3 linked regions of the Neodiprion lecontei genome follow. The protein of the gene in region 1 purifies or fractionates together with the protein of each later gene. This does not show direct contact. Links are inferred from orthologs where the notes say so. Each region holds a gene or a part of one and is shown in the gene's direction. Other genes may lie near its edges.

What was found.
Region 2: the proteins of regulator of nonsense transcripts 1 homolog (region 1) and protein CASC3 purify together in Homo sapiens (co-immunoprecipitation; 5 studies listed by BioGRID and IntAct, with this or other methods). This does not show direct contact. The link is inferred for Neodiprion lecontei from reciprocal best matches to the Homo sapiens genes UPF1 and CASC3.
Region 3: the proteins of regulator of nonsense transcripts 1 homolog (region 1) and 5'-3' exoribonuclease 1 purify together in Homo sapiens (affinity purification with western blotting; 4 studies listed by BioGRID and IntAct, with this or other methods). This does not show direct contact. The link is inferred for Neodiprion lecontei from reciprocal best matches to the Homo sapiens genes UPF1 and XRN1.

The regions. Positions count from the first base shown.
Region 1 is NC_060265.1:24,663,926-24,673,710, forward strand, and holds regulator of nonsense transcripts 1 homolog, read left to right. Parts: upstream 1-2,916; 5' UTR 2,917-3,252; coding exon 3,253-3,432; intron 3,433-4,289; coding exon 4,290-4,573; intron 4,574-4,781; coding exon 4,782-4,937; intron 4,938-5,070; coding exon 5,071-5,389; intron 5,390-5,531; coding exon 5,532-5,806; intron 5,807-5,891; coding exon 5,892-8,034; 3' UTR 8,035-9,469; downstream 9,470-9,785. Other genes in the region: ATP-dependent (S)-NAD(P)H-hydrate dehydratase, read right to left, coding at 914-1,930. UniProt on the Homo sapiens protein: RNA-dependent helicase required for nonsense-mediated decay (NMD) of aberrant mRNAs containing premature stop codons and modulates the expression level of normal mRNAs.
Region 2 is NC_060262.1:37,919,168-37,929,133, reverse strand, and holds protein CASC3, read left to right. Parts: upstream 1-3,022; 5' UTR 3,023-3,038; coding exon 3,039-3,185; intron 3,186-4,227; coding exon 4,228-4,658; intron 4,659-4,916; coding exon 4,917-5,064; intron 5,065-5,268; coding exon 5,269-5,423; intron 5,424-5,529; coding exon 5,530-5,942; intron 5,943-6,029; coding exon 6,030-6,281; intron 6,282-6,498; coding exon 6,499-6,531; intron 6,532-7,125; coding exon 7,126-7,382; intron 7,383-7,523; coding exon 7,524-8,174; 3' UTR 8,175-9,254; downstream 9,255-9,966. UniProt on the Homo sapiens protein: Required for pre-mRNA splicing as component of the spliceosome. Core component of the splicing-dependent multiprotein exon junction complex (EJC) deposited at splice junctions on mRNAs.
Region 3 is NC_060263.1:41,907,738-41,914,731, forward strand, and holds the start of 5'-3' exoribonuclease 1, read left to right. Parts: upstream 1-3,050; 5' UTR 3,051-3,226; coding exon 3,227-3,301; intron 3,302-3,623; exon of another isoform or gene 3,624-3,751; coding exon of another isoform or gene 3,752-3,769; intron 3,770-4,440; coding exon 4,441-4,881; intron 4,882-5,051; coding exon 5,052-5,499; intron 5,500-5,669; coding exon 5,670-5,920; intron 5,921-6,115; exon of another isoform or gene 6,116-6,130; coding exon of another isoform or gene 6,131-6,202; intron 6,203-6,994. UniProt on the Homo sapiens protein: Major 5'-3' exoribonuclease involved in mRNA decay. Required for the 5'-3'-processing of the G4 tetraplex-containing DNA and RNA substrates. The kinetic of hydrolysis is faster for G4 RNA tetraplex than for G4 DNA tetraplex and monomeric RNA tetraplex.

The DNA.
Region 1 (9,785 bases):
TAGTTTAAAGTTTTTCTGACTGCGAGCAGAACATTTACATATACTCGATTAACGATCATTCATTATAGGAAGAAATTATAACCAGCACGCTCTTTTACTATAATTGTAGCAGATACTGGATCATAGATTCAACGTTGCAAGTGACATTGCCGTATAATAATTGATTTATTTAATCCACTGTCGACCAGTTGATCTTATCTCTTTTTATAATCAATTTTGTACTGCGATTCATACTCGTACGTAGATGATCATAAATCGGTATTCGGCGGCAGTTAATAATTTACATTTATAATACCATGGCACAACAATATGCTCTTATTATACTTGTACTTTTTAGTACTAAAAATTTCTCATCGACTGACGTTTTGCCGCGTGTTTGCAGAAATTTTAGAAAAACTATTAGCGCACAAATTTTTTAACATAGACATTTTAAGCAACAAATTATCACTACATTAATTATCGTAGAATACAAACCATAGCGTAGAGTTCATCATTATTAATTTTATACAATGAACAGTACTTAGTATTTATTTTCGTTATTTTACTGCATTTTTTTTTTTTTTTATTTCTATTTATCGAAAACTTTTTTGTTCTTTTATACATCACAATAAATCACGCTCCCATACTTGTATGATGTGCGTTAAACCAAGCTTGAGATGAAGTATGACAATATACAATGTTGGCGGTATTTTATTAAATCTTATCCCCACCTCGGGCAAATTATCTTGTCAGTAAGCATACGAAATGAAACGTTATGAGAAAGCGAGTGAAGTACAAGAGTTGAGTTATTTCAAGATTCGTGTATTATTACCTAAAAACGAAGAGTTATTCCACGGTATGAATAGCTTAAAATTCGTAAGAATGATAATTTTGGCCAAATTATAAGTGCGTCAAGAGTCACATCACGTGAAGTTCATTTGTAAACGTGCGTTTCGAACAATTTAGCGAATACGGGTTGTATGAATTCAATCATATCTGTCGTAAGCATGCTTCGCTGTTTGATCTTGAACGCGGCAGCGTTGCACTCTCTTGTCAACCTGGACGCAGCATAGGAGGCCGTCATCGCCGGGGACAAGGCACACTCACTGGGCCCAGCACTGAGGGCCCACCAGTAGAAGACGGCCAAAGCTCCTGACAGCAGATCACCTTGGCCTCCGCATCTTCTCGGAGATCCGGAAGTTCCACAGGACAATGTCTCCGTGCCCTTGTGACCATCGACGATCACGTCCTTGGCACCCTTGTGCAGAACGACGACGTTTTTCCCGATGACATCGGCGAGGTGTTTAACGTCCGATATTTTAGCGACCGGAGCCGGCTGTATCGACTTTTCCAGAAAGGCCTTGGCCAGTCGAGAGAACTCCATCGCGTTCGGCGTTAAGATAAGCCCCGGATATTCCTTGACCAGTTCTGGCTTCTGGGTAATCAGGAAGAGACCATCCGCATCTATGATCAAGGGCTTCTTCAGATCGCGACAAATCACGATGACGTCCGCGATTACTTTGAAGACCTTCTCTTCTCTTCCCAGACCGGGACCAATCACGATCACGTGCAGCCTATCGAGCCACGGTTTTATCTGCTTTACAGCATCGTGCTGGTCGAGAACTGGATGCACGATCGGTTCCGGACTGAAGGACTTTATGGGAACCCCCGCATCTTTCGTGCAAAATACGTGGGCCAAGTCAGCCCCGACTCGGAGTGCGCTCAATGCTGCGAAAAACGGAGCTCCGGTGTACTCGGCACTCCCGCCAAATATTCCAATCCTTCCGTCCTGACCCTTGTATTTTGAGGTGCTCAAGACCGGGACTATCCTCCGGGAAGCCTTCAGCATCCGCTCGTCAACGTTCGAGGCGGAAGAAGCCATTGTTGAATATTTGAATTTGAACAGGTGCTCGGTAGACCTACACATAAACAACCTTGTAGCGAAGATCATAGATTCGTGGTTAAGTGAACAGTTGTGGCGACAGCACAAGCAAGCTACGAAGAACTGATACTCTTGGCTTATTTATACTTTTTCAAATCGATCAATTTATCCGTAACGAGTGTATGTGGAATTAGAGTGATTCAAACTGCGGATGTTGGACTGTAGGCCGTCGGTTGCATGACTTCACAAATTTTGAGGCGGCGTAAAAGCTATGCGCGTTAAGCGACTGTATCCACGACAGAAGCAAATTACCTTTATTCTTTTCTCAACGTCGAGTAAATATTTTCGACGAGCGAACGCGCCAAGTATAACTAAACCACTGAACGTTCGTTGGCGGCCAGAAAGGTTAAATGATAACAATAGTTATCGCAGGGTTGTCGGGTGCCATCTATCAGCATGACGTAGAAGCTCAGCCTCGGATACGAACGACGTCGAATTAAAAATATAACTTACAATTTTGAATATATTTATGTAATTTCGTGAGTACCGTTGGGATTCGAAATTGATTAAATTTCAACTGTAAATTTATCAAAAATTGAGACGAAAATTTCACCGGAAAAAATAAAGAAAAACAAACGATCGAGAATGTCAATGATAAAAATTGAATCGCAGACAAACATGAAACGTTTATCTGCGACAAACTTGCAAACGCTCAGTTTGCGAATTCCACGATGTAGAAACAATCGTGGGTAGGTAAAAGTGTCGATGACCGACGACGGTATAGTTTAATAAAAACTGAAATTTATAATACTTGATAAAAACGCACAATAAAAATTTATAGTCCGAGCGAGTATCAAGAATTATCATTTACCCATCGAGCATTGTCCGAGAATTTGAACCCTTCGGCGATTATTCGAAAGTAAAATACCAAGTTATGCGATACTGAAGAAATTCGAATAAAAGTATTGATATGAAAACGTTTCTCGCGCATCTTTGTTGACACGAAGGATAGTATTGTAGGTTAATTATTTTTCTAACGAGGTTAGGAACTCGAGAGTCGTGACATCGATAAGCGATATTCGATGTTCGAGGGTCGCGAGTCAAGAAATGAGACACCCTTCCGTCTCCAGGGCCTCCAGTAGCCTTGTGACAATCACAAATCAGCTGATGACGTAACAGGCGACGAGTGGCGGAGAGAAAAAGTAGTGTGCTCGGCTATTGGTGTTGGTGCGCTGGTGGGCACAAGCGAAATATGGCGTAGGATTTCGTGGCTAGTTACATCGGTTGCATTTTGTATTTTCCACAGACATCTCTGAACAGTTGCGAGCGTACATTACTAGTAATATTATTTACAATCGGGCGTGGCTGCGGTTATATTAGAAATTTTAGGCATGAGTGTCGACGCGTACGGGCCTAGCAGCCAAACCCTGACTTTCCTCGACACGGAGGAAGCAGATTTGATCGGGGCAGATACGCAGGGGAGCGAATTCGACTTCACTGACTTCACTTTACCCTCACCCAGTCAAACCCAGGCTTCCCAGCACGACGGAGGCCAGAGCCAACCCGTTCAGGTAAGCCAAAAGTATTTTTTAAACCGATTGACGGGACGCCCACGCGGCCCGTACCTACCTAACCTTACTTAGACTTCACTATCAAAATTCATCCCCATTCCCTTGATCAGCGATTGAATATTCTCACAGGCTGAAAGCTCATATTTATATGCTTCCATCTTCCTCCATGTGTTTCGCAAATTCTTCGAATTGAGAAATCATAACATAACCACTGCTCCGAACAATGCCGTACCTCATCTGGCAACTATTACAAACTCAACTTATTTCCCATGCATTTAAAACAAATCGAAAACAATCAATTAATTTAGGTCGCTCCTCTGTTCGCTGCTCATTGGCCCATCTTTGGTTGAACTTACTCTAAGATAGTAGCTCTTCAAATTGGTATTGGTATTGTTGACGATGGAATATAAAATAACACAATGTTAATTTGCTTCTGTACCATTCTCTATTTATGCCCTTTAATCTTTATTCAAGTTTATTGTCAATACAATATCTATCTTTTGGCTACATTCAATATAAGCATAATGTAGATTTTTCAATTCTTGTCCTTCCTTCTTTTACAAATAGTCATCAAACATTCTGGTAGATGTAACAGTACATCTATTTAATGCTTTTATAGGCATAACATTAACACATGTTTAAAACTGTACGATTATGTTGTATAATTGCCAAAAGTGGTGCTGACGATTGATAAGAAGCTTCCATAATGATATAACTGTGATATTTCGACACTTTTTACGACCCCTTTCGTTCCATCTGGATTACTGTGCTATTCATTAAAACATTTCAACTTCACAATGAAATTATTCAATTTTAACAATCACTAATTGATACGCATCTTTATTATTTACACGTAGGTTAATGGCACAACTGGTGGTGGTAGTTCTTCGCTCGACTTGAAAATTACCGGCGCTACTCAAAGTCTTGCCGAACTCCAATTTGAAGAGGAAGAAGAGGAAGCATACTACAATCGAGACTTGCCAGAACATGCTTGCAAATACTGCGGCATTCATGAAGCGTCATGTGTCGTTATGTGCAACGCATGTCGCAAATGGTTCTGCAATGGTCGTGGCAATACTTGTGGTTCGCATATCATCAATCACTTGGTCCGTGCCAAACATAAGGAGGTCACTTTGCACAGGTAAAAGATTTAACATTTTTAATATGCAAGATGACATTTTTCATACTGTTTCAAAATTTCTGCACTTATAACCTCCTGTTGACTTAACGAGGCCGAAAATTACATCCCGTCCAAAGGAACCGGCATTTTCATGACGAACAAGTTAAAATAATGTGAATAAAACTCATATCAAAAGTTGCTAATTCAACATTGATCACTAATTTCACAGAGATGGACCATTAGGTGAAACGGTACTGGAATGCTACTCCTGTGGTGTAAGAAATGTTTTTGTGCTGGGTTTTATTCCCGCCAAAGCCGACTCTGTGGTGGTGTTGCTTTGTCGACAACCCTGTGCCGCCCAAAGCTCTTTGAAGGATATGAATTGGTAAGTATTGCCACTTTGACATTTGTCGACGATTGGGTTATGGATCGAGTGTTCATTCCTTTGGTCCAAAATGCTTTTATTTTATTTGGAGGAAATTAACTGAATTAATTATGAAAAAATACACCACCACTAGGGATCAGGAGCAATGGAAACCACTAATCGCGGATCGCAGTTTTCTGGCTTGGTTGGTTAAGATCCCATCTGATCAGGAGCAATTGAGAGCTAGGCAAATGTCTGCTCAACAAATGAACAAGTTGGAAGAGTTATGGAGAGACAATGTAGATGCAACGTTTCAAGACCTAGAAAAACCAGGGGTTGATGAAGAGCCGCAACAAGTTCTTCTGCGATACGAAGATGGATATCAATATCAAAATATATTTGGTCCACTTGTGAAGTTGGAAGCTGACTACGACAAGCGCCTTAAGGAGTCACAGACGCAAGAAAACATAGAGGTTTGTTGACCATCAACGATTTCATTTCGAAATATAACGGTTGTACACCAGAAATAATAAATTTCATAATATTCTTAATTGTGTAATAATGCGGTAGTCGTCTTTAATCTTTCATTTTATTCGATTGTTCTTTTTTCTTCAGGTACGCTGGGACGTAGGTTTGAACAAGAAGACCATTGCCTACTTCATGCTTGCGAAAACGGATGGTGATATGAAACTGATGCATGGTGATGAATTGAGATTGCGTTACTTAGGAGAGCTCCACAAGCCATGGTCAGGAATTGGCCATGTGATAAAGATACCTGATAATTACGGAGAGGAAGTTGGCATTGAATTAAAAAATAACTCAGGTGCACCAACAGAATGCATTAGCAACTTTGTTGTGGATTTCATTTGGAAAAGCACGAGTTTCGATCGGTACATTAGATACAATACTATGAACTCTGGCGCTAAATAAACCTTAAATTTACTGTGTTTGTAAAACGTGCTTAATGTATTTCAGAATGCAACTGGCTTTACGTAAATTCGCCGTTGATGACTCCTCTGTGTCTGGATATATTTATCACAGGCTTCTTGGTCACGAAGTTGAAGAAGTATTGTTTCGCTGCCATCTTCCAAAACACTTTAGCGCTCCAAATCTACCAGATCTGAATAGATCACAAGTTTATGCTGTCAAACATGCCGTACAAAGACCTTTGTCCCTTATCCAGGGGCCTCCAGGTACTGGTAAAACCGTAACTAGTGCAACCATAGTTTACCAGCTAGTAAAACAAAACGGAGGTCCCGTATTGGTTTGCGCACCCTCTAATACTGCCGTCGACCAATTGACTGACAAGATCCATAAGTCTAATTTAAAGGTTGTGCGTTTATGTGCCAAGTCGAGAGAAGCTATTGACTCGCCTGTCAGTTTCCTTGCTTTGCATAACCAAATAAAGAACATGGAAACAAATAACGAACTGCAAAAGTTGCAGCAATTGAAAGATGAAACTGGTGAATTATCGAGTGTTGATGAAAAACGTTATAGACTTTTAAAAAAGACGGCAGAGAAGGAGCTTTTGGAGGCTGCCGACGTCATTTGCTGCACCTGCGTTGGTGCAGGAGACCCAAGATTACACCGTTTGAAATTCCACTCGATTTTGATTGATGAAAGCATGCAAGCTACGGAACCTGAATGCATGGTGCCTGTAGTCTTGGGAGCCAAACAATTGATTCTAGTTGGTGATCACTGCCAACTAGGACCAGTTGTAATGTGCAAAAAAGCAGCTAGAGCTGGCCTATCTCAATCTCTATTTGAACGACTTGTCGTACTGGGTATTCGTCCGTTCCGTTTAGAAGTTCAATACCGTATGCACCCAGACCTATCTCGGTTCCCATCCAACTTTTTCTACGAAGGCTCTCTGCAAAACGGTGTCTGTGCAGACGAACGGAAGTTACTGAAAATTGATTTTCCGTGGCCTGCGCCTGACAAGCCAATGTTCTTTTACGTAACCCAAGGACAAGAAGAAATCGCCGGTAGCGGCACGTCGTATCTTAATCGAACCGAAGCTTCTAATGTTGAAAAAATTACCACCAGATTTTTACGTTGCGGTGTGAAACCTGAACAGATTGGAGTAATCACACCGTATGAAGGTCAGAGAGCTTATCTGGTTCAGTACATGCAATACCAAGGTTCTCTATACTCTAAACTCTACCAAGAAATAGAGGTTGCCAGTGTCGATGCCTTCCAAGGTCGAGAAAAAGACATAATTATCATGTCTTGTGTTCGGTCAAATGAACATCAAGGAATTGGATTCTTAAACGATCCTAGAAGATTGAACGTTGCACTTACTCGTGCTAAGTACGGTATAATCATTGTTGGAAATCCAAAAGTGTTGTCAAAGCAGCCTCTGTGGAATCACTTGCTTAGTTTCTATAAGGAACAGAAAGTTCTTGTCGAAGGACCCCTGAATAATTTGAAAGAATCCATGATTCAATTTGCCAAGCCTAAGAAACTGGTAAATGCTGCTAACCCAGGATCTCACTTTATGTCAACTTCTATGTACGACGCAAGAGAAGCTCTAATTCCTGGCTCTGTTTACGATCGTTCTGGTAATCAGGTGAACGGTACTCAAAATCATAATCCGTACTACCAGAGAAATGTTCCGCTAGATATTTTCAGCAGAACTCATGATACGATCAGCTACATTAGCCCAGAGAGAGCACAAGCTGCTATGAACAATGTTCCGGTTCCTGTTGGAATGTTCATGAACATGGCTCATGTTCCACCACGATTCTACAACCAACATCAGCAAGCCCTACAAGCAAGGCAGAATCTAAGAAATCGCAGAGGCGCAACTTCGGCTAAAAACAAAGCTGGCCTTCGGGGAAGTAAACTCAGTCAAACGGAACAAAATACGCAGCCCTATAGCCAACCAGGACTCCCGCTTACTCAAGGAACTACGCAAGGAATGTCACAGCCAGGTTTTAGCCTGTCCCAGCCGGGTCTTAGTCAGGCGGAGTTGTCACAAGACTCGTTTGCAGTTGGTGAGTTTCAGTCACAAATGGACGGTTTATTGTCTCAGGATTCTACTTATCAAGGAGATAGAAGCGGATTTTACCAGTCAGGCCAGTCGCAAGCAGGAGGCCAGTTCTCCCAACCGTACTGAGCCGAAAAGATACGGCTGAACAACGCATTCGCCATGCAGCGTCGCGGGAGCGACTGAAGGCTTATTAAACCAACTCTTCTTCGACAAAAAATACAAACCAACCAACTGCGTAAAACGGTAAAACGGCTCGACAAACGAGTACATATAGTACAAGTCGTCGGTATGATGAGAGGTGACCATGCCGAGGACAACTATAAAATGATGACAAACTGATATGAGTAACACCGCAACGCAAGTGAACGGACCGTTTTATCGCGGGGATCGAGTGACACTGGAAAATGGGACGTGTAATTCACTTCTAAATTGACAAGCGCCGACATAGCAGTAATGCGACCAGACACCCCATGGCAAGGCGACAAGTGCTGATCGGCACATTTATATCTTAAACAAAATGTGGAAGATCTGTAACGTTTTTTCTTCCTCTAATTTCTGGCAACCTTTCGTACCTTTAACTCCAACTGGCCAATCTGGCTAGATTGTTTGAATGCCAGCGACAGAGGTAGTTATGTAAGGTGCAGGGTTTGTTAAGCGTTTCAGTTCTTTTAAATTTTGTCTAAGTTTCCGATAGAAAAAACTTGGAAAACTAACTATCTTCTAGACATCAGAGAGGTATCATTGTTAACAAGTTACCTCTACTGTTCATCCTCTAGATGTCGAAACGCATAGAAACGATAAATTTTATGCCGAAAATTATAAGCGCATAAATTTCAAGTGAGCACAGGACGAAATCCTTGTGAAATTTATGAAGCCGCTAATCATCCATCGAGTAATGTAATCTATGCTTCAACATAGAGTTAGATTTCTTTTTCATTTTTCTTTCAATATTTTGGCATAAACTAAACATTCTATTAACGTCAAAGATCGATATTCTTATTATGTTTTGGTTTGTTGGTTCAATGTTTATTTATTGCTAAAGCCAAACCAAACTGCAACTAGATTATTTTACTTTCTTTAGGTCATTTATTTACTGATGGATTAATACCACCAATTAATCGGACAGAAAGTATGCTACCTGCATCTTGAAACATTGTGGATAAGAGTGCTTATCGCTGATAACATTGTGCGACATGGTGGATGTCTGATGAAGAAATGCACCTATTCACAATATTTAAGATCGTTTAAAGTTTTAATATTATTTTTAATAAGGGATACACACACAAATGCATAGTCCGCTAGAGTGTTGGGGGGGATTTTAGTTACTAATCCAGCCGAAATATCAATGGTGTAGTACTGATTATTTCTTTTCGTTGTTACAAAATTATCTATATTCTAATTTGGCAGCAATAGCATTATTATTATGGAATAATAATCAGCGTAATACATCGCGAAATTAATATATTTCTTTTTTGGATCGAAAACGCACCACTAGCTATAAATTACAGTATGAAGATTCGTTGTAAAATCTTATGGTACCAATAAATTTGATTTAAAAATATCTGCATATCATTTTCTCTGATACTTCTGTATACTACACAAAATTTAAAAATCTTGGGCTTCAACAAACCAAAAAAATGGAATGTTTGGAGGTAGAGAGTTTTCACTAACCTTTACTTATTACGTTTATCCATATATTGGGATCAAGAATATTTCAAACCAGGTATAAACAATGTATTTATTTAACAACAAAATCAAGATTACAAAAAATAATTTAATAGTATCAACTTATCTAATAATTTAGGATTTTTTATTTCAATGGCATTTGCAAAATTCCAAAATATAACACGAAGTTATTACAAACTAAACATTTCGCT
Region 2 (9,966 bases), on another chromosome or scaffold:
GGAGAAGCCCACGTGGTTGGATCGCAATGGATCAGAATGAAATTTTTATTTGAAGAATTTAAAATTATAGGATTGTTAATCGGAAGTGCAAAAAAAAATAAAAAAATTAAACAGCGAGATGAAGTAGCTAATGGCGTACTCGATTCCGTTGGCAAAGTTACGTCGGAATAGTGCATCAAATAATTTCGTTCAGCACTTTTCAAAGTCGTCAAAAATGCAAAGGCCTTACTGTTCTTTGGGCAAAAAATTTCAGGTCTTTGATTTGATTCGTATGACACTTTCCTGACTAACGGAACCCTCAGAAAGACAAAAAAAGGTGCGAAAATAGCGTGGGATCGTCAGCAGAAAAATTACGTAGGAAATCATTTGTTTTTGGGCTGTAACTTTTGATCCATTTCCCGCAGCGCATTGGAACTACTACGTCCAATCGATTTTTCTCTCTCAATTACGTCGACCTAGTGCATCAGAGAATCAATCAAACTTTTTCTTCAAAACAGCCAAATTTCAATTGAAAAAAATTTGAAGCGGTTAGTCTTGCTTTTTTGCGATTTTCATAGCTTGGAAACTTTTCCTCTCAGAATCGTTTTCCAGCTCTTTTACTCTATAGTAGTTGGACTCTCAGAAATGCGAAAGACGTTGAAAACAGCGTGTGACCAACAGTAGAGGATTTACGAAGGAAATCTTTCACTTTCCGATCGTAACTGTTGATCCGTTTGTTCGTGTTCCCTAGGACGAATGTTCTAAGGGCCTATTATTTCTTCTATGCTATGCTATTTAACAACAAATCAGTAATTTATTCAAAAACGTAATTAACAGTACAGGTGTTTAGTCATAATACCGAATATTAGAGTAGGTTTCAATTGATTATACCTAGTAATTACAACAGACTGAAGTGCGATGAGCAATTTATTGAAAAAGCAATTAACCACAAGAAATATATAACTTAAACCTAACGGTATCGTTAACCTTTATGTTATGGCATAAGGATCATGGCAATAAAGTATTTCCGGTTTTAACAATAAACCATAAAGCAATAAAAGTGACTCACGGTCTCCTTTGAACGCGCTGTCCAGCAATGTCTGCACTCACATTTGGCGAGTACCTGCATGTTGTAAATGCATACAAAGCCAGCGTTCCGTGGTACCCTTCGACGGCTGTATTATTAGTAGAAAGCATGGTTACTGTCTATCAGCGGCAGAACAAAGCATGGCGGTCATTATCTTGCAGAATGTGGTGCGATTGTCTGTCCAATAAAGCAGAATCGAACCGACCTGGCCTAAGTCTTTCATCCCTTTCAGGTATGTGTGAATTCCCGTTTGTCGACCCAGCGTTTTCTTTGAAAATTACCTGTAACTATACAATAAAACTATATGAAAACAAAACATTCGGGCATGCAGGGCCGAACACCGTTAGTCATAGCGTATTCAAACTGCGCGCTATCGATTCATCGAAAAAATCCAAAGGGGTTGCTGCTGCCTTGCTGTTTTGCGATTTTTAGAGCTCGGAAACTTTTCGTCTCAGAATCGTTTTGCAGGTCTTTTTTTTCCACTGATTGGACCCTTAGGAATGCGGTAAAAACATCAAAAACAGCGTAGGATCAACAGCAGAGGAATCACGAAGGAAATCTTTCGTTTTTCGACTGTAACTCTTGATTCGTTGCCGGCAGCATATTCGGACTCCATTCCATAGAGCTTGTCTATAATATCTATGAATTGCTGTCCGAGATATGAGAAAATAATTTCATTCATTCTCATTATTTTGTAATCGTAATACATGTAATTCATTCAAATTAATCAATCATTGATTTTATTTTTGTTATTGTTAATCGTCCAAAAGAAAGGCCCTGGACACACCGCAGCATTTTCAGTATGGGCTATGCGGTAATAAATGTATGAAGAGGCATCTTAAATATGCACGAGTTCACGATTCTGGAATAATGAAAATGAACGATACTATTCTCTTACTTCGAAAAACTGCTACCGTTTTATTTCATTTCCTTCTTGCTTCTCCATTTTTTCCGTTTGTTCACACGCTGAGAGAAATTTTTAGTTCCGGTTACCGCTCAGTCCGTAACTATTTTTATTCTTTACCACAATCGAAAAATATAGTTCTAGGTACAAAATGAAAATTAAATTTGTAGCTGTTACCAGAAAGTCTGGTATCCGTTACTATTCTTTCTCATTACGAACACTTTTACTATATTTTCTTGCAACCGTTGCGAAAATTTAATTTAACCAAAAAAGTAGAGTAAACCTCAGAAACTGATTTTGCGTTGCAATTACCAAAAAAGGATCGACAATAGCGCAAAATGGTTACGTGTACGTCGTTTTTCGTAATTCCAACAATATTCAAACAGTTCATTTAACGATACCTATTTTACTGAATTTTTCTAGTTACTCTAACAAATGAAATTTTTCTCAGTGCACTTCCAATTAACAATCCTCGATTTCTCAATTATTAGATAAAAACGCAACTGACAAACACCCACTCAATTACGTAGTTCATACTTGCGGCATTTTGCCGGTGCGTTGGTAGTCATTTTCATGGGCGTCTTTTTGCTGCCGACGCGACGGCGTGACACTGCCGCGTTAATTTGTCATCGCGTCAATTTGACGCCCGTAAAAATCCAGCTTAAGGCTAGCATCAGTGCCTTAGAGCATGTTTTAGCAGCCTTTGCATGTATGTATACCATCAGTAAACGTCACGAGTGGTGACGAGATATTCGTATTGAAAAAAAAATATCACTCTGATTCAGATTCTGAACAGGCATTTGATTTCCAAAATGACATATGTTGTGTTCTATTTTTCTTTACCAATGTGTTCAATCTGGGGTCCATAAGAACATTGATGAAATAACGGGGTCTCGCATATCATAATTTCGAACGTCGCGGGTTCTATGGTCACTCAGTCTCCCCCCACTCTGCATCATACTGACTGCATGTTGGCAGTAGATTTTAGTGTGTCGCGACGACGCTAGGGGGACAACGAACAAAACGAACGCGACGAATGCGAATCGGTCAGTCTCTGTACAGTCTAACATGGAGTACGAGCAAAACTCGAACGTGTGTAGCTTCAGTGAACTAATTATGTCGGATACACGGCGTCGTAGAAAGTCTAATACTTCTGGAGGATCTGAAGATCTTTCGGATTCGTACGAGGAGTTACATGTAACTAAGGAAACCCAGGTTAGTTTTATTTGACAACTATTGTTTCAACATCTATATTTCTAAACGTAAACGGGCGTTGTATTTACGGTCTGACTTGACCGTTTGTCGATGAAGGTTGATCGCACCGGAGAAATGAGGTCGAAAGTTCAAAGATTTCTCGTTATAATTTGCGTGTATCACCCCAGGTTCTGATAAAGTTCTATTCAGTAATGTGCCATCCAATTATACGGCAAAAAAATTTGCCGCAACGTTTTCGCAGGTTATGCCCTTCGTATGTCACTTATATTTAGCCTGAATTCTCTGCTGTTTAGAATCATCTTGATATCCGTGCCAATAGATATAGACACTGTACACTTACGCATCGTGTACTTACAGATTAGTATCTCAGATTTTCTGCCGTCGAATCAATTGTAAAAAATGTAAACTTTCGTCCTTACCATATATTACTGTATGCCGAAAAATAAACACGTTCATTCGACAACGCGGAAATTGATATCTTTATGTGATTGCAACTTTTTCCACTGTTTGTGTTTAGTTTTCTCCGTTTTTATCTGCTAGGACAATACATCCACTGGCAATCGTCATATCAACTGGGAAAAATGTATAAAAATGATTGCCATCTGTTGCTAAATGCGAGTTATATATTTGAATGAATATTTTTAAATTAATTTCAATCATTGTTTCAAGTTATTGAGTTAAACAATTTTCATATCCCCAATTAATGCTTGTAAGACGCTGACGACGTGTTGATAATCGTCACTATGGTCACACGTCGTAAAGCGTGAGTTTGTACTAGAAACAGATTGGTAGCTTATTTCTTATTGCATAGTTACATTGGCCTTCTTATTTTTCTGTAAATGAAAACTGGAGCTGGATGGTAGGCTGCCTTTCACCCAGATACATAACTGTACCTCACTTATGGCTTGATGTTACAGTAATTGCTCTATATGTTAGATTAGGTCATTCATTTGTAGGGCCTATTTTGGTTTTCAATTAATTTTGAGCTTCTACGGGACAAAAAAATTCTTTTTTCGACTAAAAATTTTTTTTCATCCAATAGAGTAACGAAGTTACAGAGGGTGAGGAGCATCGTGACTCAGAATATGAGACAGGCGAAAGCAGGTCTGAGGCAGACTCGCAGGATGGCGGTTTACGGGAGAGTGGAGATGGACAGGAGGAGGACAAGCCGCAGCGAAAACTGGATGACGATGAAGACAGACGTAATCCTCAGTATATCCCTAAGCGAGGTACGTTTTACGAACACGATGACAGAACAACGGAGGAGGTAGCCGAAGAAAAAGTAGAAAATCCCAACGAAAGAGAGGTGAAAGAAAAGAAAGTCTGGAAAGACAAGGAGGATCGATGGGATCATGATAGGTATAATGACGATGAACAAGCACCCAAGAGCCATGATGAACTAGTAGCTGTCTATGGCTACGATATTCGAAACGAAGAAGGCCCGCCTAGAGCTCGACGGAGGAGAAGATATGGGTAAATAGACATCAATTACCATTTCACTATAAAGTCTTAGAAACTTGTTATTCAGCAAGATATTATCAGCATTGGCAGCTAAAACATTTAAAGAATTAAAAAAACTACAATAAAAAATATTGATTGCATAGCAAACGAAAGTCTGATCACTGTCTACAAGAACAAAATTTTTTCACCATGCTTACTCTTAATTCATCAGTATCAAGTTTGTGTAAAAGTTTCTGGTACTCTGCTAACTTATCCTTATTCCAATAATAGTCGCGGTCCAAACAAATACACGCGAAACTGGGAGGATGAAGATGCATATGGTAAGCCAGGTGGTCCTCCTTCAGTTGGCCGAGGTGGTGTTAGAAAAACAAACCGAAGTGGAGAAGAGTTTCCTGCATTAAGTGGTGGCAATAATAAGGTGAGAATTTCTATTTTGATCATATTGTTTTGAATTAATTACGCAATAGGTGACTGTACCAGCTGGCTACTTATTGTTAGTATCAGTCGATGTTTAAATACTCGATTAGTTCCACGTTGAATTAGAACAATTTGAGATGTATCTTTTTACAGTTCAACAAAGCAAGTGTATGTAGTCTCTAACGAAGGTGTGTTTTTTTCACAGGACGACAGGTCAACCACACCAGAAGAACCAGTTATCACTTCGGCGTGGTATAGCAACAAAAACAAATCTCAACCCAAAGCAGGAAACTTCCCACCTCTCCAAGCACAGCATGAGTCTCTAAACTCGAAGACTAGTCCTACAAATGATTCTGGGATGTAAGTATGAGAAAAAAAAAAGTAAAAATACAATGCCACTAGCAAACTATTTTACAAAGTGTTTACCCAACATACTCATCAATTCAACATCAATGTTTTATTATAGAAACGAAATGCGAACCCTTAATGAGCCAACAAATCCAGCTTGGAAGAAGGAAGTGAAACAGAATTCGCATAGTCAAAGTTCTAATGGAAGCGGTGGTGGTGGTGATGCAGACAAATTACTGAATCACAAATCCTCGCCTCGTGATTCGAACAAAAGGCAGGTCCAGGAGAGTGTGAGTTTGGCAGCCAGTAGAGCCAGAGGTCGAGGATTCAAAGCGAGTGGTAACACTAACAATGCAGGATCCAACAGATTGGATTATAAAGCTAAAGGTCGTGGATCTGGCTCAGTTCCACTTGATAATAGGCGAAATAATTCAGACAATAATCACATCGACGATCATCATATAATTACCGATATGAAACAGATGAATGTCAATGACGGAGGATCTTTTCAACAGAATAGCAGACAGAACAGTAAGATTTTATGCTTGTCTGACAATATGATCAACGAGCATCTTGACTTGCAAAGCTTTTCTAACAGCTTATTTTTTATCTTTACAGAAAATTTGTATGTCCAATCTCCAGGCCAAGTTCGACCTGGTACGATTCCTCCACGTATGCAACAACAGCACCAGCAACCACAGCAACAGCAGCAGCCAGCACAGCAGCAATCAGCTCGCCAACAGCAGCATGACGCAGCTGGTAACAGACCTAAACGGTATTCAAGCTTACGCCAGCGCCCACCAGTTCCAGAGGGTCCTGGACAGCAAGGCTACCAGCCTCAGCATGGTCAACATGGCTATTACCCACAAGGTATTTAATCAGTCGAAATCATTCGCTTTATTGTGATCTTATAACATAACCTCATCTAAATATTTCCTGATCGATGCAACGATTATTTGACACGACCATGCTGCACTTTTTTTCGAATATGTCAACGTGACGTGTATGCTGTAGGCTAATTGTATATTTTACCGAAATTTATTAACTTTTACTTTTAGTATTAACATTTGTATTCACATGTTCTTAGCTGGAAATTCAAGAGGCGTTCTAGATTCCCAAGGTAAATTTGACAAAAAAGATTCAGTAGTATCGTGTGCGCGATTTGACTATTTCTCTAGTTTGATGCTGTTCATTGATTTGCAGATCATCTGACAATTACATGTTGAGAATGCACTTTTAATTAGTTTGCAACATCATTGTACTAGCTTTGCTGACTTCAATGTTATTTTACAAAGTGAATGACAGATCAAGTTTCAGCGTACTACTTTCAGTTATAATCTTCTCAATGACTTGTGCTTTGTGGCTTTTATCCACACAAGCATGGGAAGTATACCTCATCTTTGCATTGTTACTTGAAAATAAGGATTGTGATCGCTATTCATAAATTCACAGTGCAAGTCTTGAGATTTCCTATGCACTTTGGGATATATGCTTTCTTTTTTGTAATTAAAAAATGTTTTATCCATAAGGCTTCTGCTTTATTCGTGTAAAATATTTTGTGTATGAAATGTGTGAAAAAGCATGTGTTGGCGAGTTTCATGAGTTATCCAATCTGAGGAAACTTTGGATCAGATGATGAAACATCAGCTGCCTACTTTTCAATCACTAAATAAATATGAACAGTTACTTACAAAAGTTTTTTCTATGATTTTAGGATACCCTGCGGGTCACTTTGATCAGGCTCCACCAGTAGCACCGCCGGCAGCTCCTCTAGCTGGACAACCGGTCCTTCCCTTGCCTCCAGGTGGTCAACCAGCAAGTTTTGCTCCACCTCCATTTTTGGTACCTTCACCTCAGTTCTTACCACCTCAGGGTGCACCGCCAAGCATGATTAATTACGTACAGGGACCGAACGGGCCTGCCTTTCAACCTAACTTCCAGGGTTATCAAGGCTTCAGTCCGCCTGTTCAGGTTGGTTGATAAATGGTAGTTTTATTAGCAGCTAATTTCTGAAATGTCCTGCAATGAGCAACGAAATTTTAGAAATTAACTTATCTTCTAGTACCCTAATTACGACAGAGTAATAACGAAAACCAATATCTTTGTTTTCAGCCACAAGGGCCGCCGCCGCCCCAAGAACTCTTTCAGCCACAGGGTTGTACCTATTACAGCCCTGCTCAACAACAACAGCATGCAGTTCCTATGAGACGACCAAAGGCTGCAATTCCTATTCTTCCGCCACCTGACAATCAGCAACATATGACTAGTCGAGGTAGAGGTAGAACAATACAACAACAAATCATTTCCGTTCCAGTTGGCGGCGTGCAAAGAACAAATACGGAAAGTAAGAATAACATGGTGGAAGGCGATGGGAAATTCGTACAGGCACAATTTGCTGGAGTTCAGATAGAGAAGCAGGTACTAATCGATCAGTTTGCGGTTAATGAGACCACTGAAGTAAGAGAAAATTCCGTCGACAATGAAGACAAGGATGTAATATCCAATTCTGAAATCACCAATATCTCGGAAACTTCAAAAGAGTTGAAGGTCAGCTTAGATGTGGTCGTAATGACAGAGCAACGGCAAGACAATGAACAAGAAACGGAGCAGCTACAACAACAAGAGCAACATGTTTTGGAAAGTGATGATGTCATAACTACCAAAACCGCTGAACAAGTGATAATTAATACTACAGAGCCTGAATTGCCGAAAATAGAAAATAAGGTAATGGAAAGTCCCGCGGTTGAGGAAGCTGCTGCCTAGTTATTTACACTTAGCTTTTTTTAATCACGTATCATATTCAATTGACTATAACAGTGAGTTAATATGATGTGAATACGTTGATGAAACTGTCATCATCATTGAATGTCACGTAAATATAACTAACGAGTGATGATCATCAGAAAAAGTGAAAATATTTTGGAGAATTTCAAAATTGCGATAAAGCGAATAATGTCGCGGCAATCGCTAATTTATCGTGCATCAGCCATCGACTACTGTACATGTTATGTTATGTTTATTACTAACTTGGGGTGGTATCCGTATTTCACCAGTTTAGTTCGTCGCTTGCAAAATAAAAGGATAATTTCGTATTATCTGCATTTTGACTAATTATCTGGCGTTATTATCTGCCAGTTTCAATTTGAATTTTATATTCACATTGTGCATAATTAATTGCATTGTAAAAGTCTCATGGGATGAAATTCTTTTTCGACAAAGTTATAACTTTAACTTTATCTCTCTGGCCGGGCCAGTGTTACATCAGCACGTTTTTATTTTGTTAGCGACTCTCTCCTTTGTTTTGGCACAAGATTTTTCTAGGTCTTCCACCTGCTTCAGATCGATTTTCCCATTTCCTCAATTCAGTCAAATAAAAACATATTTAAGATTGATTTTTATTCATATGCAAATGTTTAAAGTTTATAAAATCAACAATATAAGATATACTAACTTCTTGAATTTTGTTGAATTCATAAGCTGATATATCTTTTTTTAAAAGTCAAAGATATCATTTAAAACGAACAGGCTTGTTTGATATAAACTTTGATTGTGACTCGTTCTAGCCATTTGCCGTGCTTATCTAACCGTTGAGTAGCCATTGATATAACATACGATTATTAATTAAACAGAAAAGGTAAAATCAGAAAAAAGAAGATAGATAAATTATGATAAATAGAATCATAAATTAATAGATATCACATACAAATGTAACATTTGTATTGTAATTATTCAGTCTGTATAAGCAGTTAGTATAAGCGACTAAAAAAGAGATGATTGCGAAATTGTAAAATAGTCCAAGCAGTTTTGGACACTTAAGGTGTGTAATAAAAACGTTTCATTTCACTTAAACTGACTTTTGTTTAAAACGTCTTTGTAGAAGAATTATGCCGCATAAATGTAAAAATATTACTTTTCTATAATCATGTAGAAACATATAAATGTTTTATTAACACGAGGTTCGTGTTTCAGTTTTAATAATGAATGCATGTAAACTCTTGGCGAATTGATCGATGTAGTTATGATAGTCGTATGGTTATAAGATTTACCTATTTTTATTTCCTAATGCTATCAGAAATTGAATTGCAGGATAAATTGCGATCGATTTATATTTAGTAATTTTTAGTACCTACGTGAAAAAGTAGCGCAATAATCTTACCTTGTTCCTCAATTGGCAGAGTTGAAAAAAACCAAAAACGAGCAAATTGAATGAAAAAATAATTTCCAATTTGGAAGAAACTAAAATATAACATCATCAAATTGACGCAGTGAAATCTTGTTATTAGTAGTAATTGTAGTAAGTTAGATTTATGCAAAGAGCTATAATACATTCTTCATGCCAACAAGTGTTTTTCCCAAACGCAATAATTTTCATACCTTCAAATGCGAATGACAGAATCATAACTGGCATGTGTTCTGTAAAAAAATATCAGTTTTCTAGATAACACAGCAAGTAAGACCGGAATTCTACGTTTGTGAAGTTAGATGGTTGAATGTGAATTTATGCCTTGAGACACTAGGATATTTGTATGTATCAAGGAAATAATAACGTAACTCG
Region 3 (6,994 bases), on another chromosome or scaffold:
ATTGATTACTGTCGTTATTCACCTGGAGTACAATAGCGATTGTTTATGAGACATAGTTGCTATTTGCTTAACATTATTAGAATCGCGCTGCTGCGAATATTCTTAGGTGTTTGTGTTATAATTATCTTAACAGATTTAGGGTATTTAACAATTTGATAATCCATAGTTTTAGAGCAGGTTTATATGTATGCTTTCGTATATAATTCTCTTCTGTAATTATTAATTCTTATATTGATATAAATGGGCCTGGAAGCTTCTAGAACGTTTTTCGTATGTTTGTTGGTTGCCTGTCATTGGGCGTTGCCACGTATGCATCTTTGACTTTATTGTGAGTTGATTTACCTTCAATCGTTTCGTCGGTAGGTTTCCTAATGTGTTCTCTAGATGAAGCTCTGTATGGCTCCACATTGGAGATCTGCATTGCCTCCAAGACGTTGCGCGTGTCGCCTACAATACGGCATTACGGAGGAAGGTATAGTTCATGCTGGATAATTAGTATTCACGGTTTTGAAGGTTTTGCAGTCTCTGGTTTTATGGATTATTGCAGCAGTGCTATCTTTACATTATATTGGTTATACAGTTATCTATGGTTTTACAGTCTTCTGTACTCCAGGCTATATGGTATAGCGTAAGTTGCTTATAGTACATGTACTATAGCTGCAGCTCTCAGCTCCGAATGCACAAATGGCATTTTCGAGTGCTAAATAATAATTGGATATAATTGTGTTAGTTAATTATAGTGTTAATATGATAGTGATATATAATAACGTATAATAATATTATAGCTCTTTGTAGTGCGAAGATCTCGTAACATGGTTTTTAAGCTTTGGTTAGTGAATGTCATAGTTATTTCCATCTAGGGATATTCCAAATAGTTAGACAGTTGTTTTAATTCCTTATGGTTACAAGATTCTTGTACTTCGAGTTTGGTTAGTTGATAAAAGTAACATGCAGTAGTAATAGTCGATAAAACATACGGACATTCCGGTCGGATGTTACACCCTTATGACGCGTACTGTTTGAAAGGCGTATGTTATAATAACCTATTGAAAATCTGCGTAGCATTTCCTTTCGAGTGTACAGCAGAAGGTCTGATCTACAATTGGTTGTATCAGTTACGCATGACGCGCAAAATGAAATACGTGTAACATCCGACCGGAACGTCCGTATGTTTTATCGACTATTATTACTGCATGTTACTTTTATCAACTAACCAAACTTAAAGTACGAGAATCTTGTAACCATAAGAAATTAAAACAACTGTCTAACTATTTGGAATATCCCTAGATGGAAATAACTATGAAATTCACTAGCCAAGGCTTAAAAACCATGTTACGAGATCTTCGTACCACAGAGAACTATAATACTATTATGCGTTATTATATATCACTATCATATTAACACTATAATTAACTAACACAATTATACCCAATTATTATATAGCACTCAACAATGCCATTTGTGCATTCGGAGGTGAGAGCTATACTATAAGCAATATACGCTTTACTATATAGCCCGGAGTATAGAAGATTGTAAAACCATAGATAAATGCATAACCAATATAATGTAAAGATAGCACTGCTGCAACCTATAAAATCAGAGGCTGCAAAACCATCAAACCGTGAATGCTAATTACCCAGCATGAACTATACCTTCTTCCGCAACGCCGTATTGTAGGCAACACGCGCAACGTTTTGAAGGCAATGCAGATCTCCAATGTGGAGCCATATAGAGCTTCACCTAGAGAATACAGTAGGGAACTTACCGACGAAACGAAAACGTTCTAGAAGCTTCCAAGCCGATTTATATCAATATAAGAATTAACAACTACAGAAAGGAGTTATATACAAAAAGCACACATGTAAGCCTGCTCTAAAGCGACGAATTATCAAATTACTAATCTGTTAAGATAGTTATAACACAAACAGCTAAGGATATTCGCAGCAGCGCAATTCTAATAATGTTAAGCAAATAACAAACTATGTTTTATAAACAATCGCTATTGTACTCCAGGTTAATAACGACAGTAGTCGACTATGATACATATGTAACTCTATATAGAAATAGCCATAAAACTAACAAACGACAGGTGACCAAAATGAAATATGGGCCTTGTAACGAGCAAGATAGCAAAAACATTAAGAGGTAGACAGGAAGAAGTTAAGTGGCTGACGGGCGCCAGGAAGGGGGCTGGCGCCTCAACCAAAAGCTCACGCAGTTCGGAGAACTACGGAACAAAGTCCACGCACCTACACCACCGCACCAAGCAGCGATATACCATACGTAAAAACCTACAATATAGTAATAGCCAATGGACTAAGATAACAGGCGTGCATGCGGCGAAGATGTCGTGCCCTAATTAGAATTCCTAGAAAAGAGGGGAGGTGCGCAAAGGTGACCAAAAAACTAGAGAGGGGGATCGTTCTGCGCAACGATCGACCCCTATAAAAAGGGCGACCGATCACTCGATCGCTCTCTCGGTTTCTACCTCCAGATTCGTGATCTAGTTCCGGTACAGTCTCGCGGTAAAATCCTTCAGCCTTTTGCATTTAAACTTTCATACAACGTTACTCTGCCCAAAAGTTCAGCGAGCTTCAACTCCATTTTGTCATACTAAGTTTAAGATCTTACACTGTGTAACTCTGCGTTTGTGACTTCTAAATATCAAACTTATAAAATAAACCAAGTTAGTCAAAGTATCCAAATATTAAAGTCAGTTATTCCGCTCAAACCTCTCACCAATCTACAAGTCATCGCATCCAGAATACTCTCAAAAAGGTAAGCCAAATTAAATCTTTTATCCAACAATTTCTCCCTCTTCGGTTCGTTCGACTAGAGCGACAGAATGCCCGTTGTCCGGTGTATTTCAATACTTAATCGGTAATTGGTGACCCAAACTACTGATGTGAGTCTAGCTGTAGCTGCGTGTGAATGTTTCCGGTGTCTAACATCTGGAGATTTCCACTAGGTACTGTTCCGACGTCACATACGCTTCATGTGAATGGCGTAACTTCGTTTAAATTACCAGAATCACTACAATATGCAAGTTACGCTCCATGTGGTGGCACCCTAAGCATCTGGTCAGGTGTTACACACGGTTATGTTTCACGTCTTCTACGTGATTATCAATATAAAATACATTTATGTGAACCATCAAAGTAATATTTAAGCGTGCTAACTGTAAGTTTACGATTGATACTAATTTAGCATTACGTGAGGCATAAAAATGGGCGTGCCAAAATTCTTCAGGTATATGAGCGAAAGATATCCATGCCTCAGCGAGGTTGTCAGGGAATATCAGGTGTGTACATACAAGTTTATAATTGAACAATTATGATGCTCTTACGAAATCACAATATCGAACCACATCTACAAATGTACATTAATTATCCCTTGAACGAAATGAATGAGACATAGCTGATCTCATGCTCTCACAAATATCGCAGATCTTATTTTTCAATCAGCCTGTTTTCTAAAAAAAAATTGGTTTGGTCTTAATTCTTGCATACTGGTGATCAGTCCATTTCATACCATGTCCAAATACAGTGATTACAAATACTTGGTTCAATAAACTGGCCCGATACTTGCACACGATTATGATTCATAAATCAGATATCCTTGTTGATTCCAGTCGTGTAACAGCTTATATCGTTTGAAATCTATCGCAGCGATTGAATACTGTGCCGACCTCAGAACATTATCGTAACAAAATCTGTTACTCGACATCGGAGCTAACAAGTCTGTGTCAGGCATGTTGCAGACTTGTCAGGTTAAAGTCTTATAATGTTAACGTAACGGATGAATATTGCAAAATAATTTCTGTTCTGTAAACTAAGGGTTGACAAAAATTCAATAACCTGTAATAATGTAAAAGACATCTTACAACCGCAACTTTTTTGAAGACATTTTCAGATTTTAAAATGAATATTATTTTGTTCAATTTAGTGCAGATGATACTTGGGCAATATACCATGTATGACATCAAGATAAAATGGCATTAGCCTTCTAAGATTAAAATGTACATGCTAGTAGTGTTTGACGCAGTTCATTGAAAAATGAGTTTTTTGAAACATTCCTTGCATGTGCAATTTTATCGCCGAAAGCCAAATTATTTTGAATGACATAGACTGTCATAATCCAAAAATTTGTGCATGTTCCAAAACATTAAAACAATGAAATTCGTAATTACTTTAATCAGTAAATCATGTAACATAATCAGGTCTTTTCATAATTACTCGCAGATGGGCAAAAAACAAGTAGAACAGGCGTAATGTAATTTATTACAAATGGCTGCAACTTATTGTATCTGGGCAGGAATATACTAGGTTTCAATTTTGACCTTGGTAGAGATGTCGGCTATCCAAAGTTTATTCTAAGAGTATATGCCACAGTTTCTGCAAAAAAGCATATCATTTTTCAACAATATCTTTCAATTTTCAGATACCTGAATATGACAACTTATACTTGGATATGAATGGCATTATTCACATATGTTCTCATCCGAATGACTTGGATCCCCACTTTCGTATATCGGAAGAAAAAATATTTCGGGACATATTTCATTATATTGAAATATTGTTTCACATGATTCAACCACAAAAGCTATTTTTTATGGCGGTCGACGGTGTAGCACCACGTGCTAAGATGAATCAACAAAGGGGCCGCAGATTTCGCTCGGCTAAAGAAGCTGAGGTTTTAGAAGCCAAAGCGAAGGAAAGGGGCGAAGTACTTCCGAAGGAGGCACGATTTGACTCCAACTGTATAACACCAGGAACTGTATTCATGACACGTCTTAATGAGCAACTCAAATATTTTGTCACCTACAAAATAACAACGGACAAACTTTGGCAGAAGTGCAAAGTGATACTGAGCGGACATGAGGTTACTGCATACCACTAGATTTTTCTACAGACTTTCCTGTATCAGGTGTCATGCAAAATAAATATGTCATATCGCGCAACTGTTTTGAAATATATTCAGTTGGAATTCTCATGATTAACTGTTTTCTTTTGACGAGACGTGCTATTTCCTCACCTAAAAATTTATTTCAGACACCAGGTGAAGGAGAGCACAAAATCATGGATTACATTAGATATATTAAATCTCAATCGAATTATGACAGTAACACAAGGCACTGCTTGTACGGTTTGGATGCTGATCTCATAATGCTGGGTCTGTGCACGCACGAACCTCATTTCTCCTTGCTGAGGGAAGAAATAAAGTTTGGAAATAAACAGAAGCGAGTGTCCACCCCTGAGGAAACCACATTTTTTCTTCTTCATTTGTCAGTAATGCGAGAATATATCGAACACGAGTTCTCTTCACTTAAGGATAAACTTTCATTTGACTATGACATTGAGAAAATTATCGATGACTGGGTACTAATGGGTTTCCTGGTTGGAAACGATTTTATTCCAAATTTGCCAAATTTACATATCGCTAACGGTGCCCTGCCAATTTTATACTTGGCTTACATGGAAGTGCTGCCTACACTGGACGGTTGGTTCAATAATTCTGCTTGCCGGTAGTTTTGATGATTGTTTGTCTCAATATGATACTAAATTTTCAGTTCCCTTGATTGACGTCATCGGCTAAAACGGATCTAATAATCAATCATAATCGAGCTTCTTTAATCATATTTGCTGATACAACAATGCAATGTCTTGCAGGGTACATAAACGAGGGCGGTACTTTGAAGTTGGATCGCTTTGAAAAATTAATGGAACGTCTAAGTCGGGTGGATATTGAACAATTTGCAGAGCATTATGCTGATTTAAAATATTTCGAATCCAAGACCGGTCGAAGGCCAAATGAAACGGAAAGGCACACTTATCACAATTCTGAAGATGCGTCAGAAGCCTCAGCAAAAAATCCGGGAAATAAAGATTTGGAAGATTTAATTAAATCTACCTACAATATGGTATGTAAACATTGTTCTTCGAATGCGCAATCACAAATCGATGCTAATACTTGTAGGGAATGCAGTTTTGCTTCTTATTGTGTTTCATTGTGGGGATTTCATCAGTATTTGCTTAGAACTCTTTTATACGTTGTTGGATCCGCGCGTGTATTTCTTTTTTCCCTGTCAAATTGGACTGAATTTTACGGTTTTCGAATAAAATTTCAGATTTCATTTCTCGATGGCTTGTTTACACCGGGTTCTAATATCTAAACACCGTAAAATTTGCTGGAATATAATGTGCTTTTATTTTACATACGGGTATTAAAAAATGCTATGAAAAGTTGTATTTTTGATATGCAAGTACTCTGGCCATTTTGAGATTCTTTCTTTTCACCTAAGATAGACTAAAAATATGCTTAACATATATACCAAGTGACAATTGGGATTATTCTTCGTCTAGTGGTTACTAAAAAAAATAAAAAAATAAAAAATTCGAATTGACAAAATTTTGTTAAAAATTACCCACCCACATCCAAAGAGCTGCATTCATCCAGAGTTGCATGTCGAGTATTTTTCTATAGAACAATTTTTTTTCAGTACACAATTCTTTTTTTTTTTTAATATCAACCAAAGGGAAAACAATCCCACTTTGCCAATCAGGGTGACTATGGGAGGTGCTTTTAAACTTTTAGAAAATGGAAAAAAATGTTCAAATTTCTTTAGTTAATTTGGATTCCTTTTTTTCATAGTCACTGAACAAAGAATAATACAACATTGTCGCTTGAGTCATATGTTGGGCATATTTTTAGCCCATTTTAGAAGTGAAAACCAAGAATTTGAAAATTGGTGGAATACTTGAAAGATAAATGTACAACTTATGACTATGTTTTTTAATACCATATTGAAATTAGGTAGAAATGTAAGTACAATAGCTCGAAAGAACGTGAAAATATCTATCAAAATCACCATAAACAATTAAGTAGACTGTAGACAAATAAGCTTTCCTCCTCAAACAACGTGGACATGAGCCATGGTAACAGCCTGTTCGTAAACAGCATTTCTATCACGTTTGCTAAGTAGCCAACAGAATCA